2 linked regions of the Caenorhabditis elegans genome follow. The protein of the gene in region 1 interacts with the protein of each later gene in a pairwise test. Each region holds a gene or a part of one and is shown in the gene's direction. Other genes may lie near its edges. The genes, in order: hcp-1 and mrg-1.

Region 1 (9,192 bases):
CGTCTCCGGTCCCTCTCTCTCTCTCCCAGTGTGTCCCAGTAAAGCATCTGAATTATGTGAGATAAGCGGTGTAATACGAACAAAGTAATACTCAAAAACCTATTTATTATACAACCTCTCCCGTGTGGGTAGAGCAGGACTCTAAATAGGATAAAACAAGTAAAAAGAGGGAAATACAGTCAAGAACAATAAAGGATGGTGTTAAAAGTTCTTAATAGATGGTGTTAAACCCTCTGCAGACGAATATGATGGTATTATGAGTCATTTAGACTAAGGATAGTACAAAACGGTTATTTAGGAATTATATCTAACGAACTTAATAAATATCAACACGTTGGGAAAATGAAAACGTGTGGATTTCACCGGAATTGCTTCGCAACTGACAAACATATTCGACGTCATCGCGGGTGGTCGTTGCACTTGGCACGATGCCAAGAAGTTAGAGACGCGTGGGTCTCGCCGCGATCGCGCTACTATTAGATAGTGGCGCGAGATTTGAATGTGAATATTTGTAGATAAGTTTATATCTCGGCGAATAATGGATAGATTTGAACGAAATAAAATGTAATAAAGAGATAATAATTGGATGACCTAACAGTACGGATATTGGTTAAGAATAGTGGGCTATTCAATGGGAAACCAATATTATAGTACTGTAAGGTTGTCGGGATAGCTCCGTAAGGGGCAGAATCGACAACAATGGGGAACTATTACATGCAAATATTTACGGTTAATCGTATTGAAAATTTCAGCTCAATGACCTAATCAAATTCAAGTTATTTGGAGCAGATGAAAGCATGGGAGAGGTTCATCCTGTTAATCGAGTAGCCATTGTGATGGTTGTTACGAATGACACAAAACCGGAGAATTATGATATTGCTATTCGCATGTTTTTTTAATAGTGTTATACAAACAGATTTTAAAAAAACAAATATTTAAAAAAAGTAAAAAAACTGGTTTTTTTAAAAGGATTTTTAATATTTTAATTTTTTTTTAATTATTTATGTTAAAACATTCTTGGAACATGCCACATTGCCCTGGATTTCTTTAAAGCCCATATTTTTCGAAAATTTGCCAATTTTCCAAAACTTTGACTGGAAATTTTAAAAACTTTAAAAAACATTTTGGAATGTTTTATTATGACGTTCTATTGTTATTTTTCAGAAACGGTTCGTTGCTACTGCAAAATCCATAATTATGAATTTGTTCTCGCAGTTGATACTGATTTCAAATGTGCTCATAAAGATGTAAGTTCTAATTTTTTTTAATTTAAAAAAAGCTAACATTTCAGAAATTTTTCCGCCGCCACTGTGTTTCCGCAAAGATTCTCCCATTATTTGATGCGATCCTATTCTTAGACGCTGATATTGGTGTTGTGAATCCAAAGCGAAAAATTGAAGAGTTTTTGGATGATGGAATTGATGTTACATTCTATGATAGATTCTATAATTGGGAGATCATGGCTGGATCTTATATTGCAAGAAATACTCAATATGCTATTGATTTATTAAACGGTTAGTTTTTTATTCGAAATTTTTGTGATGAATTTAATAAAATTGCAGAGTTTGCTGATTATGAGTACAAGTTACCAAATAGTTTTCATGGAACGGATAATGGAGCACTTCATGTAACTTGGTAACTTCCTATTTCAATTTTTATTTTATTGTTTAGATTTTCCTTGCCGAAAAGTTGTTCCCACAGGCTTCTGCAAATACGAAAGTATGCAAAAAAGCTTATAACAATTCTAAAAATTTTGATGATCTCTTCACCTACGAGTCATGTATCCGAGCAATATTTGGCGTATCCACTGATTTTGGAAAAGTTAGAATTATGAAAAAAGTAGGTTTAAAATTAATACCACAACATCTACAATATTAACTGTACAGGGAACAGGATGGGCTAAAGACGGCTGGCTGACATCAATGATGTGGCATCCAGAGTTAGATTTCATGTTCCATGGTTGGAAAACGAATCAATTGAGAGAAACGCCGAATGTGAAGCTTGAGTTGGCAAATTACCTGAATTTTTTAAAAATTATTCAAGTATTACAGGCCTAGCCAAATGGGACGAGATTTTTGGTATAATCCTTTGAGTGGGCCTATAGATCTTCAAAAATGTAGTCCTCAAAATTCGACATGGTCATACGATTCACGACTTCGTGGAGATAAAAACGAAATTCTGAAAAGCCTGAGAATGTTCGAAGAAAATGTTGCATTTCAGCAAGTTTTGTCTTATATCCGGATGATGGGTTTATTGTTTCAGTAACCAGCAATTTTAAACTTTAAATTCAGATTTTGTGTATGTATATTTACTTGAATTGTAAGACAAGATATATTTTTGGAATAAAAATTTGTGAAAACTACATAAAACGCAAACGATGGTTTTTAATTTTTTTGTTCCAATCAACCCCATTTTTACAAGGCCACAAACTGCAAAATAAATAAAATATACCGATTTTCACTTGTAGACCTATTATATTTTGACCTTATGGTCGGTAAGAGCAACCGTGCTCCACCGCACATGGCGGGAAGGTTTCAATTTTGAATCACCACGCGCGGGAATCCGGCACTTTTCATTTCGTTCATTCATTCATTATTCATGAACGTTCATTTTCAGTTATCTGACATTTGGAAAATACTGTTTTGTTACTTTATTTGTTGCCACATAACGTCAAAAAGTTTCACACGCAGTATTTAATAGATATATTTCTAAAAACTTATTTTCCCCTTAATTTCCTGTTTAGTACTTTTTTCCTCCTTTTTTCAAATCACGCGCCCTTTTTGATTTTTAATATCCCTTGTGTAATTTCCATAATCATTATTGCTAATTTATAGATAAATCGACGTTTCTTTCACAATGGACGAATCGCCGATATTCGACAACGAGAACAAGCGCTCAGCTGGAAATGTAAGTTGAATTTTCTCAAAATTTTAATTAAATCAATGACAATATAAATTATTTCAGAAGCGCCAGCAAACCGAGTCGCCATTTTCCGCCGCTACGCCTAAATCACGACTAGGAAGAGAACCGAAACGCATTTTTGGAACTTCGTCGGGCAATATGGCCGATAGCAACCTGGAGGAGACCTGCCTCGAGCATGATTCCCGCCCGTCTTCTGCTTCTTCTATCACCCCTGCCGACAACACAAGTCTACTGGATTTGTCTACAGTAACAGCTTTGGCTACTGATGATGCATCCTTCGTGGGAACCAACGATGCTTCCATCACTCCGGGCAGCAATGTTGATGTGAATTTAGAACAATCTGAGCTCTACGACACCTCAAATTGCACGAGCAACCTGAGCATGGTTCAAGAAAGCGACGAGACGGACGCCGATGCCACACTGTCCAATGATTTCGATAATCAATTGGCACTTGACGGAGAGACTACGCCTACTGCTTCTCGTACTCCAATGAGCCAGATTCTGAGCCGAGAATGTACTCCAACAGTATCTAATCCACAGCTTCTCACGGAAATCGCCAAAGGAGTAGATCAGCCTACAAAGCCAGTCCGAGATGTCCCCCAGTCCCCAGTGCTTCCTGTCAAAGGTCACATTGACTTCTCACTGTAAGAAATTGTCGTATTTATAGCTTAAAACAAAATAATTTCAGACACGAGTTTGAAATGTTGGAGCAGAATTCCGAGCATGAGGAGTCAATCAAACTTCTTCAGTCGCAGATCGAGCTTCTCCGTCAAAGTCACAGTCAACAGCTCAGTGAGATTCAAGAAGCTCGAATTTTTGAGGAAAAGATGCTGACTCAGCAAGTAGATTCTGCAATGAAAAAGGCAAAATCTGACCGCGAAGCCGCTAAGGCACGAGAACAAGTTCTCGAGAAACAAGTTCAGGAGTTACGCTTGAAGCTGGAAGAGCCTGACGAAGAGAAGAATCAGTTGGTACACAATCTTGCTGCTCTGAACGCTCAAATCGAGGAGTTGACCCAGAAGGCTTTGAAAGTAGATTCGATGCAACAAGGAGCGACTGCTTCGGAAGATCGGATTCGGGAGTTAATTGGAGGCCATCAAGAAGCAATCAAACAGCTTGAGAATACCAAACAAATGAACGAAAGTCTTCAGCGCGATCTAGTAGAGAAAGAAGCGAGATTCAGTGAAGAGGTTTTTATAGAATTTATTGCCGAAGTAAATTTAATTAATTATTTTTAAGATGGAAAGGATTCGCACCGAATCACAAACAACAAGTGAATCGCTGAAGTATGAGCACGAACTTGTTCGCAAGATGATGATTGAGGATATGGAGAAACTGGAGGCAGAAGTACTCGCCCTCAAATCCCAACAAGCAAACTTGGAGATCCAAGAATTTCACGACAAGATCAAACAACTTGAATTGGAGGTGCAACTGTCGTCTGAGAACAAAGAAAAACTTCAAGCAGAGTTAATGGTGGTACAAGAAAAAGCTTCCGAAAACATCAAGAATGCCGAGGAAAAAGTGAACGGCCTTGAAGCAGAGGTTGGCTTAATTGAATAATCACAAATCAATATATATATTTTTATTTTTCAGGTCGAAAAGCTGCGATTTGAAGCCACCAATAATTCTCGTGTTGTGGAGCTCGAGCAACAACTCGAAGAGTTCAGATCGCTCATGATTAAAGAGATTTCTGATTTGGAGAACCAGTTAGAAGCTGCAAAACTTGAGTCAGGATCCACGAGTGAGCCCAATGCACAGTTGGAGGCATCGCAAGCTACAATCCAGGAATTGACTTCTGAGATGAAGATGCAGTTGGAAGAAGTGAAGAGACAGTCTGATGAAAACAATTCGTTGAATGTACATCTGACATCTTCAAACGAAAAAATTGCGGAACTAACGTCTTCATTGGAGATGGTGGCTGCTCAACTCTTATCTTCACAACAAGAAACTGATGTTGCCGTCACTAAGGTGGAAAATCTGGAGTTGAAGATGGAAGAGGCTCATCGAATGTATTTATTGGATATTGAACTGTCAAGAGTAAAGATTGACGAACTTCAGTCTTCTATTGAGGTGCTTTCAAAGCTTGAACGTGAGGTTCAGTCATCCAATTTGCAAAACGAAGAGTTGAAACTTTCTCTGAGGAATTTTGAAGAACTTCAAGCCGATCTTGCCATGTCGAAAGCAAAGAATGAAGAACTCGAACAGCAAATTGAAGATTCTAGTCGGGAGTTTTCTGTCATCACTGAAGCAAGTAAGGAAATGAAGTTGAAATGGGATTCGTCTGAAGCTCAGATGTCTGAAATGATAGCTTCTTTGGCCGCCTTCCAAGAAGAAATGCAATCAACTCAAGCTGATGCTGTCGCTTCTGAAGATAAAGTCAAACAGGTGGAATCTTTGTTGGAGAATTTGAAGGAACCTTTGGAGGAATTAAACAATCTTCGTGCCAATTTGAAGGATTCCAACGATAAGATTTTGGATCTTCAATCTCAACTCGAATTGGCTCAGCAATCTTCGGATCTCGCTGATCGTCTTCAGGAGGACTTGAGAACTTCAGATGCCAGGGTCCAAGAATTGAATATTCAAGTGTCTGAACTCGAACAGCAAATTGAAGTTTCTAGTCGGGAGTTTTCTGTCATCACTGAAGCGAATAAGGAAATGCAGTTGAAGTTGGATTCGTCTGAAGCACAGATTTCTGAAATGACAGCTTCATTGACCGCCTTCCAAGAAGAAATGCAATCAACTCGGGCTGATGCTGTCGCTTCTGAAGATAAAGTCAAAGAGTTGGAATCTTTGTTGGAGAATTTGAAGGAACCTTTGGAGGAATTAAACAATCTTCGTGCCAATTTGAAGGATTCCAACGGTAAGGTTTTGGAGCTTCAATCTCAACTCGACTTGGCTCAGCAGTTTTCGGATCTCACTGATCGTCTTCAGGAAGACTTGAGAACTTCAGATGCCAGGGTTCAAGAGTTAAACGTGCAAGTCTCTGATCTTCAAAGCGAGCTTGAAACTGCTCGCCAGGACACCAATGCTGTTCAAGTCGTTATGGAAGCTCTTAAATCAGAACAAGGTGAATCGTATGAAGCTCTTCGTGCTGAACTTGACGCTGCTGTTCAAGAAAAAGGCAGATCTTCTGATCTCGTAACTTCGTTGGAAGGTAAAATTCAGGAGTTAGAAACTGCTATCGAGAGTAGTACAGCTGAAAACGTTCAAAAAAGCAAAACCATCCAAGACTTCACCGACAAAGTGTCACTACTTGAATCGCAAATCTGTGAGCTGAAAAGTCAAAATGAGCAGATGGAAATTGATACTAACTTGAATATGGATCAGTTATCCGAAATGTCTTCTCAGTTGGAATCTGCAAACGCCGAGCTCATTGAACTGACGAGGACTTCCGCTGAGACTATTGATAAGCTTCGTGGAGAAGTAGAAAAGTCTACAAAGGCAATGATGGATCAAGAAGAACATCTTGCGGAACTAGTGGCCAAGATTGAAAGCCGAGATGTTGAGGTTTGACGAAATTTCTCTTTTATATTTATAAAATTGTATTTTTTCAGAACGCGGATCAAGCTGCAAAGCACAAGGAAGAACAAGAACGCCTCCAATCCGTAATTGATACTCTTCGGACATCACAGAGTACAATCGAAGAATCTCAAGCCAAGTCAGAGGAGTTGAATTCACGCATTAAAGAGCTTCAAGCATCAATTGAGTTTGCACAAAAGGCCCTAGCTGACACCGAAAACGCAAAGCAGGAGAAAGTCGAAGAACTCGAAAAAGTTCAGGAGCAGATGCTAAACCTCGTGCAAGCTTTCGAAGTGGAGGTTAGTTTAACGGACATTTTTTTAATTCCAAATTTATTGATAAATTTTACAGAAAGCATCGATCCGATTGGAGTGGAACTCGTCTTTGAGCAATGCAAACGAAAAACTCGAGGCTGCAGAGGAAGCACTCTCTCAGAAAGAGAACACGATTGTTACTCTGGAGTCGCGGATCGAAACAATCTCACAGCAGTTTGAGGCTCGCCTGGAAGAAGCAAATGTCTGGAAGTCGCAGGCAATGCAACTCGGCACTCTCACTCAATCGCTTTCGCAAATGCAACGACAGCTTGGAGAAATGCATGAGAAGATGGAAGCATCTGACCGTCGTGTCATTGAAGTCGAAGAACAAGCTCAACACGACATCACTTTGATTCAAGTTGAAAATAAAGAACAGTCGGAAGCACTGGAACAAGCACATTCTCGTATTCTGGAACTTGAGGAAAAGTTGGTGAGGGCTGAAATCGAAATCCAGCGATTGGAGAAAGTTTGTGATGCATTTGATGATGACGAGCGGGAGTATAAGGACAAGATCATGACACTTCAGTCCGAGATCAAGCAGCTGAAGGGTGTAAAGACGCCGCCACGAGTAATGGGACTGATCGAGCAAGCAAGACTTGGGTGAGTTGAACATGTATTAAAATTGACAAGTTGAGCGTTTTATTTTCAGTGTGAAACAACTGAGCCGCGAAAGCTCACTTGTCGAACCGCAAAACTCTGCTCATGAGGATGCCTTCGAAGATGCGCAGAACTCCTTCCAAGATCGTCTTCAAACCATGTCGAATACTACTGCCCGGCAGATAGATGCTTCAAATCATCATCCGGAGGATCACGTTTTGGAGAAGTCGGCTCGCGAAACTCCATCGAAGAAGAATCGATCAAACTGCCAACACCAATAGGCTATAAGATTCTCTCACCCCACTAGATCTCTCACCGTCCCCCACTAACATATGTGCCATGAATACCCGTTCTGAACCCATATTTACTTGTCAAATATTATTTGCTTTTAGGGTCAGAATAAACGGGTTTTTAAATTTATCAACGATTTTTAGTCTCATTAAAATACAATCAAAGAAGATCCTGAATAAAGGTGACGTCATTTATAGTGAAAAAGTGATATATTACAGCTCAGAAATTTCACAGGATTATTATCATTGCAAATTTTCGCGAAGTTCGATGTTCTCTCCTTTCGCATGTTCAACAATCCATTTAATCAATAGATCCTTCGAACTGATAGCGTCTAATTTGATAGTCCACTCCAAGTTGTTATCTTTGTTCAGAATAATTCCAACATTTGGTTCAGCGTTTTCTGAATTAATTTGATCAGTTTGATCAGAGGTAATGCCAACTGGAGATGTCAGTTTCACACGTATCTTCTCATCTGTGCTACGTGGTACATGATGCTTGATTGTTAACAGTACAGGCGGTCCACTTCTTGTATTCTTTACACTAATCGTCTGCTCGGTGGCATGAGTTGAATGTTTTGTGATGTAACCGCCTTCTTCATGGAACTTTTTGGCTGGCTTATATTCGATACGAATGGCCGTGTCCACGCCTAGAGAACAGGTGAATCGTTCACCTGGTGACACATCTTTCATGTGACTCTGAAACATGAATTGCAATAAATTCTCCGAAAAGTATGTATTGTAAGTTTGAAATTTTCTGAAACGCGAACTTAAAGGCACACGGATTTAATTGGATGGGTCTCGCCGCGAGGAAGTTTATGGTACCCCTTTCTTGGTTTTTTTTTGTGCTCATTTTTCGAGATTTCGAGTGCAAATATCTTCGATTTTGTGGAGATTTTTATATTTTCAAATTAACTCTCAGTTTTCACTTATCCTAATTTGGAAGTTAGTCAAAAAAAATTTCACGATTTTTATATTTTAAATATGCTTTTGCAACACTCGGAATTTCGCGAAAAGATGCAAGCGATTTTTTCCGGCAAATCGGCAAATCAGTAAATTGCCGGAATATGTATGTGTATGTATGTATGTGTGTGAAAAAACTATGAATGTTCCTACATCTATTTTGAAAAGTAAACAAATTCTAGGAAGATATGTAGAAACAACGGAAAAAAAATTCAAAAAGACACAGTTTTAAGTGTTTCCTTCTTATAATAAATCCCTCTAAACATTTCTGGCAAATCTGAAATCCGGCAAACGGCAAATCGGCAATTTGCCGAAATGAAAATTTCCGGCAAATCTGCAAACCGGCAAATTGTCGGAATTGAAAATTTCCGGCAAATCAGTAAATCGGCAATTGGCCGATTTGCCGAATTTGTCGACAAATTAATTTGCCGAACGGCAATTGCCGCCCACTCCTGAAATGAGCACTTTTGGAAAGCATCTGTTTAACGGGATCCTACACTATTATATTTTTGAGAGAAAACTATGAAAATTTGATACAATCGTTCACCTTTGCAACAAAAGCATTGTTCAAAAAGATTGAAGTTTCACCA
Region 2 (7,404 bases), on another chromosome or scaffold:
CCGTATTTTTAAAGGGATAGCAGATGGTTACCGAGCTCCAGTTGTCACAATGCGCAAGGTACTGCTCAGAGAATATTGAAGCTTTAAATAATAAATTTTGCATTTTCAGTCCGCTAGAAACCATGAAAAATCCACAGAGCCTCAAGCGACGAAAGAGAACGCTCCGCGGCTAGTCGGAAAACGTAGAGAACAATTCATAATCGGTGAGCAAGTCACGTGCACACAGAACGGAAAGCCATATGACGCGTACATCGTTGACATCATAACCGACACTGATGGGAAGGATTTTTACTGCGTTCACTTCAAAGGATGGAACAGCCGTTACGATGAGAAAATTCCAGTCGGCGAGGAGCAGGGTCGATTGTTCAAGGGCTCGGCCGCGAAGTACGCAGAGATGCTCGAGATGAAGAAGTAGATGGGATCTGCTAATAAATTGTTAAATTGCTAAAATTTTGTGTTTGTTAATTGTTCTTTTCAAGCTATTTGTACAATGAATTCTTACCGAAATTGACAAGTTCATATTGTATAAAATGCTGGAAATATTAGCTTTTGACAGACAAGAAACAGGATAGATGGAGAGAGAAAGGGGCACCCATGAAAAGCGAAGAAAAGGGGAAATAAATTAGGCCAAGAAAACCAGATAAATTAAATAAATTATTGTTCGCTACGAATCAAGCGGTTGTACAAGTCGTCGACCTCCTTCTTCACAAGTGGCACGATGATCTCTCCATCGTTATCGATATAAGCTCCGATAGATTTCGTGATTTTTCCCTGTCCAGAGCGTCCTTCCTTCTTAAACTCGGCCGACAGCGTGTACTTATCGTCGTGAGCCTTGATCTCCGAGCTCCACGCCCATTTTCTCGATTGTTTTCCGTCGACTTCGGTGGCCTCGTAGATGCAGTCCTTCTCGACGTACCACTGATACATTTGAAGAATTCCCATGCATATGAAGTAGGAAACCGAGCACACGGCGAGCACGATTTTCGACTTTGGGAACGGCTCGTAGTAGTCGTAGCCGCAGGCGAACGCGGAGAACGCGACGCCGATGAATGAGATGAGAAGACGCAGATTCATTAGATTATGCGATTCCGTCCATCCGACTTTGTCGTTCAGAATCTGAAACGAAAGATTTTAATTTTAATTTTAATTTTGGAGTTTCGGAGAGCAAACCTTTTTGACGACTTCATCAAGGGCATTCTTCACTGTTGGACCGTCCCATTTGTTCACAACTTTCACCGGCTCGTCCGTCATCTGAAAATTAATATATTTGAGAATAAAAATTGAATAGAAATCCAAAAAAACCCAAAAGAAATGAGCAAAAAGCTAGTGGTGACGTCTCAAAATTGGAAGTCTGCATTATTGCGTCGTGGTGTTTGCGTACTTTTTCGTGCGCGGCGCTATTGCATTTGCTTAGAAAACCGCGCCGCAGGGGGGTTTGAATTGCGAAAATGCCGTTGAGCTTTGAGAAAAGCTTTTTTTTTGTTTTTATCGATAAATTTATCGAATTTTCGATATTTTTAATCTATTTTTTGATTAAAAATCGTTCAAATATACATCATTGGCTAGAATTGCTGCTAAAACTCGCTTAAAACACCAATTAATCGATTAATTTCTTTAATTCCTTCAGATGTCTTCAAAGAAGAACTTCGAAGTCGGCGAGAACGTCGCGTGCATCTACAAAGGCAAACCATACGATGCCAAAATTACTGATATCAAAACCAACAGCGATGGCAAGGAACTCTACTGCGTTCACTTCAAGGGCTGGAACAATCGATACGATGAGAAAATCCCAGTCGGCGAGGAGAAAGACCGCATTTTCAAGGGAACAGCCTCGGAGTATGCAGAGAAACACAACGCAGAGCTGCCAACAACTGCATTGAAGCCGAAGAAGAAAAGTCTTGCGGCTGAAGCACCACGAGACGATCGTGATGACACTCCGGGGACGTCGAAGGGAAAAAAGGCGAAATCGGTGACAATTGCGCCGGTTATGACCGCCGACGATATGAAGGTCGAGCTTCCGAAGCCACTGAGAAAGATCCTGATCGATGACTACGATCTTGTCTGCCGTTATTTCATAAACATCGTGCCACACGAGTATTCAGTTGATCAAATCATCGAGGACGTAAGCATAAAAAAAATTAAAATATCATTTTTTCCGATTTTCAAATCCAACATTTTCAGTACATCAAAACCATTCCGGTCAGTAATGAGCAAATGAGAACGGTCGATGATCTGCTCATCGAATACGAGGAAGCTGATATAAAAATCACGAATTTGGCTCTGATTTGCACCGCGCGTGGACTCGTCGACTATTTTAATGTCACTTTGGGGTTGGTTAATTCGAATATGTTAAACAGATGCATGCAAATTGCACGTAGCCCAATGTTTAGTACCACTGCAACTTTTTTCGAACGAGGGACGAGGAAAAGCGGTTTCTAGCCCATGGCCGAGGGGCCGACAAGTTTCAGCGGCCATTTATCTTGCTTTGTTTTCCGCGTGTTTTCTTTAATTTTTCATAGACTTTTCCCGTTTTTTTCTTATTAAAACTAAATAAAAGATAAATAAATATTTTTGCAGATGCCAAAACAATTTCCAAGTGAAAAAATTATGTATTCAGTCGGCAAGTAGCGGTGAAAGTGCTCAATGTTATATGATGGATTACGGGAATACTAAATCTAAACCTTTTCTGAAACATGGTATATATTCTGCTTAGAGACTGAAACTACCCGATTTTCATCATAACGAGACCGCTGAAAAAGATTTGAGATTTTCAAAATTCAACTTTTTGTGCAAAAATCTCAGAACTTTTTGAGCGGTCTCGTTATGAAAATCGAATAGTTTCAGTCTCTAAGCAGAATAAATGCCATGTTTCAGAAAAACGATTAGGTTTAGTATTACCGTAATCCATCATATAACATTGACCACTTTCACCGCTTCTTGCCGACTGAATACACAATTTTTTCACCTGGAAATTGTTTTGGCATCTACAAAAATATTTATTTATCTTTTATTTAGTTTTAATAAGAAAAAACGGAAAATTTTTTTGAAAAACAAAAGAAAACACGCGGAAAACAAAGCAAGATAAATTGCCGCTAAGTCTTGTCGGCCCCTCGGCCATGGCCTAGAAACCGCTTTTCCTCGTCCCTCGTTCGATAAAAGTAGCAGTGAGTACACATAATGCCCTCCGCTTCGTAGAATAGTCGCCCCAATCCCACTTGAAACAGTTACGATGTAAGGATGAATTGTTTAGTTCCAGCTACCAACTGCTCTATAAGTTCGAGCGGCCACAGTACAATGACCTTGTCAAAAAGCGAGCTATGGAGAAGGGAATCGACATCACAAACCCGACCGCCCTGCAGGATAGTGGATTCCGTCCATCTCAAGAGTACGGAATTGTGCATTTCTTGAGAATGCTCGCAAAGCTCCCGGACTACCTGAAGCTCACTCAATGGAATGATCATGTTATTAACGTATGTTCGAAGTTCAACTCCTGGAGCGTCTCCTGAATCTGGTTTCCACACGGAATCTGTTTTTTTTTGGCGAAAAGGTGTAAAATTTGGAAAAATTAGGCCGAAAATTGGATCGAAACCGTCAATTTTCTCGATTTCAGGATCATAAAAAATCCCATTTTGTAGGGAATAAGCAGATTCACAAAACATTGATTTTTAAAATTGAAAAATGGGGAAATTGCCTTGTTTAATTTTAAAAATCAATTTTTTTTTGTGAATCTGCGTTTTCTCCACAAAATTGAATATTTTACGATCCTGAAATCGAAAAACTGACGGTTTCGATCCAGTTTGAGGCCAAATTTCCAAAATTTACATTTTTTCAATGCGTATCATTTTTCTCAACATTAATATAAATAAAAAATAGCAAAAAAAAACGATTTTCCGTGAATTCAGGAGCCCGAAATTGCTTTAAAACACGCCTATGGGACCACAATGACAGAATATCATGATAAAAAATTCAAAAAAATTTTATAAATTTTATATGATTTTTTGAAAATTGGAAAAATCTCAGTTTTCACCTAATTATTTTTGAATTACCGTCAATTGGATTTGTTCGATGGAGCGAGCTTGCATTATTTTCATTAATTAATTTTATTTTTTCTCGTTATTTGACTGGTTTTCTTCATTTTCTATGTTTTTTCCTCGGAAAATGAAAGAAATAAATAGGACAAATGCGAAATGTTTGTTAAAAAGTAATTGAAAATGCGTAAAACTGTGATATTCTGAGTTCCGACAAGCCTGAGATTAGTATATTTCACAGTTTTACTCATTTTCAATTACTTTTTAACAAACATTTCGCATTTGTCCTTTTTAAAAGCATAGAAAATGAAGAAAACCAGCCAAATAACGAGAAAAAATAAAATTAATTAATGAAAATAATGCAAGCGCGCTCCATCGAACAAATCCAATTGACGGTAATTCAAAAATAATTAGGTGAAAACTGAGATTTTTTCAATTTTCGAAAAATCATATAAAATCTAGAAATTTTTTTTTGAATTTTTTTAATCATGATATTCGGTCATTGTGGTACCATAGGCGTGTTTTAAAGCAATTTCCCCACTGAGCGTAGTCCCATGCTCCAAAAATAAAATAAATCAATTTTCAGCGCATCATGATTGGAGTTCACGATTTGATTGTGTTCCTGAATAAGAATCACGGGAAGTACTACAGAGGATCGTCTGATTATCAAGGTGCCTCCAACGACTACTATCGCCGATCTCTCGCCGCCGACGACGGAGTTGGAGCGAATCAATAGACTGATCTCCTTCATCATGTGTTCCATCCCAGACGATCTTCAATACACCGATATAACTTCAATAATTTTATACATTGTTCATTATTTTCCAAAGCTAGCCCCACCATTATGTTTTTGTGAAATCGTGGAGATCCATATTTTGTTCACGTTAATCTCACGTTTTCTGACGACTTCCACATTTCGCATTCCATTATCGTTCAATTTTCCGTTTAGTTGTTTCCCAACTATTCTAATGAATATGATTCTCATTTTCTTTTCAATAGCCCCCCACATTCATATTTTTCCAGATTCTTCTTCTCTTCCAACTCCCCGCCATTTTTAGCCTATCGAGATTTGATATAATGTCTGCGTGCCCCCAAAACTATTCCATCTCGCATTCCACGTGCCAGACTGGAAAGAAGAGGAAGACTGAAGATTTTTTTGAATATTAGAATATACTTTTTTCTTCCGATTTTGAAGTTTCATGATTAAGATGGTTAAATATTGAGAATGCTTATTGAACAACATAACTGACCCGCAAAATATCTCGTAGCGAAAATTCTTGTCGATTTACGGGCTCGATTTTCGAATTGAATTTATTTTTAAATAGTGACAGCGATATTTAATTTTCTTCTATCACTATTCAAACAATTCAAAAATCCGGGTCCGTAAATCGACACTACAGTAGTCATATTACTGTAGTTTTTGCTACAAGATATTTTGCGCGTCGGATATGTTGTTCAATACGCATTCTCAAAAATTACAAGAAGTTGTCTTTTTTTGAAAAGAAATTTTTGAGTCTCAAAGAAAAAAAAACATCCCAAAAGGGTTTCCTCTCGCTCAGCCGCTTTTTTTTGGGAAAATTCGGTCATTTTCTTTGATACAATTTTTCGACTAAAATATCAAAAATATTTAGCAAAGTATTTCTACACTTTCTACATGACCGAATTTTCGCAAAAAAAAGAAACGCCGAAATCATCTCAACGCAGTCGAAGATTTTGGCAAGAATAGCCAGTTTTAGGAGCATTTTGTTTGTGTTTGCAGGCGACGCGCATTCGCGTACAAGGCATTTTAATTGACGCGCAAAACATTTAATTCAGCGGCAGCGAATACAATCTTAAATCAGTTTATCAGATGGCGCAGTTAAATTTTACCACAACTGATATTTTAATAAATTGATTAATTAAAATCTAATTTTAATGATTTAAAAGTGTTTAAAATGATTTTAAAACGAGTATTCGAAAGATTCCAGACCTGCCACAAACATTTATTTTTTGATCTACTCCTTTTTCGTCCCACTCTCTCATTCAACGCGACATTTTTTCTCTGTTCAGGTGAGGAATTGTTTTGCATTTTTTGTCATTTTTTCCAATGGGTGGCTTGGAGTACGGCTGTTTTTTTTTTCTCACAGAATGGATTTTCTGATTTTTCGTGATTTTTTCTTTTCGAGTTGCACGTTGACAAATGTTTCACCGCAAAACTTCGCGTTTTTATCGATTTTAAGATTAAAGTATAGGGTTTCGAAACGACGCAAGTTTTTCTGAGAAGCGAAAAGGTGTGCGCCTTTAAGGAGTACTGTAGTTACAAACTTTTGTTTCTTTCAATTTTTTTCGATGTTTTAAAACGCGTCAACAAAATGTTGTTTTTTATTTGAAGGCGCACACGTGTTTATAACATTACGAAAATTGAGCCCGTGAATCGACACAAATGCTACAGTAGTCATTTAAATAATTACTGTAGTTTTCGTTACGAGATATTTTGCGCGTCATAAATGTTGCACAATACGCATTCTCAAAATTTTGTAGTGCTCCCGTAATAGTACTGTAGGAATTTTGTAGGATTACTGTAGTTTAAAACAATAACAATTTCCAATTTTTTTCTGGCTAGAGAAATTGTAAAATTTTCTGGGCATTTTTCCCCGTTTTTCAAAATATTGATTGATTTTTTTCTGCTATGCGTCTTCCATTTTTGCTTTAAAAAAGTAAAATATAAATAATATTTTTCAATTTCAGACGCGTTGGATCCTCCAGCACGGGACGGATGGGTGGCATCGACGATGACACATGGAGCAAAAAGGAGCACTCATAGGAAGGTAATTGGTCTGCAATTTAAGCCGTGGACTTCTTGGGCTTCTCGGGCTTCTCTTGGGCCGTGGGCTTTTGAAATCAAATATTAATATTTTTCAATTTCAGATGCGTTAGATACTCCAGCAAAAATTGATTGAACGGATGGACGGAGGGACTGTTGGACGAAGGTTGGACGGAAGGACGACAGCGGCGACGACTCATGGAGCGAAAAGGAGCACTCGTAGTATGGTAATTGGTCTGCAATTTAAGCCGTGGGCTGCTTGGGCTTTTTTCGGGCCGTGGGCTTCTTTGTTGTTAATGTGCGAAAACGTGACGCTAGCGCCATTTTCAGTCGCTCGTCATTAGTGTTCCTCTCCACCCTTTAAGTTTGTTGGCCAGTCCGAGGGCACGGGCGGCCTTCTTTGAGGACGTCCACAGATTTTCTTTGTGGATAGGGCTGCGATCTACCACAGGTTAGGTGGTGATCTAAGCCTCCCTCTCATTGTCCCCACAACCACACGGGAGATCCTTCGATTCTTTTTGAAAGATTAAAAGGACAATCCGTTCTTCAAGTGCTATGCACTGCGGATCTGGG

The links.
Region 2: the proteins of hcp-1 (region 1) and mrg-1 interact in a two-hybrid assay, tested with the Caenorhabditis elegans proteins (one study listed by BioGRID).

Annotation. Positions count from the first base shown.
Region 1 is NC_003283.11:6,591,370-6,600,561, forward strand, and holds hcp-1 (HoloCentric chromosome binding Protein), read left to right. Parts: upstream 1-2,824; 5' UTR 2,825-2,856; coding exon 2,857-2,907; intron 2,908-2,964; coding exon 2,965-3,566; intron 3,567-3,610; coding exon 3,611-4,112; intron 4,113-4,161; coding exon 4,162-4,464; intron 4,465-4,515; coding exon 4,516-6,429; intron 6,430-6,476; coding exon 6,477-6,740; intron 6,741-6,792; coding exon 6,793-7,355; intron 7,356-7,404; coding exon 7,405-7,633; 3' UTR 7,634-7,839; downstream 7,840-9,192. Other genes in the region: ZK1055.2 (Nucleotide-diphospho-sugar transferase domain-containing protein), read left to right, coding at 753-885, 1,165-1,247, 1,292-1,514, 1,563-1,627, 1,672-1,839, 1,887-2,005, 2,052-2,265; ZK1055.6 (Protein F37C4.5), read right to left, coding at 7,886-8,338, 9,150-9,192.
Region 2 is NC_003281.10:12,868,878-12,876,281, reverse strand, and holds mrg-1 (Mortality factor related protein 1), read left to right. Parts: upstream 1-1,627; coding exon 1,628-2,122; intron 2,123-2,181; coding exon 2,182-2,330; intron 2,331-3,250; coding exon 3,251-3,470; intron 3,471-4,614; coding exon 4,615-4,764; 3' UTR 4,765-5,008; downstream 5,009-7,404. Other genes in the region: cec-7 (Chromo domain-containing protein), read left to right, coding at 1-58, 110-415; spcs-2 (Signal peptidase complex subunit 2), read right to left, coding at 655-1,116, 1,171-1,251. UniProt on the Caenorhabditis elegans protein: Protein involved in the remodeling of chromatin thereby regulating various processes including transcription, chromosome synapsis and genome integrity.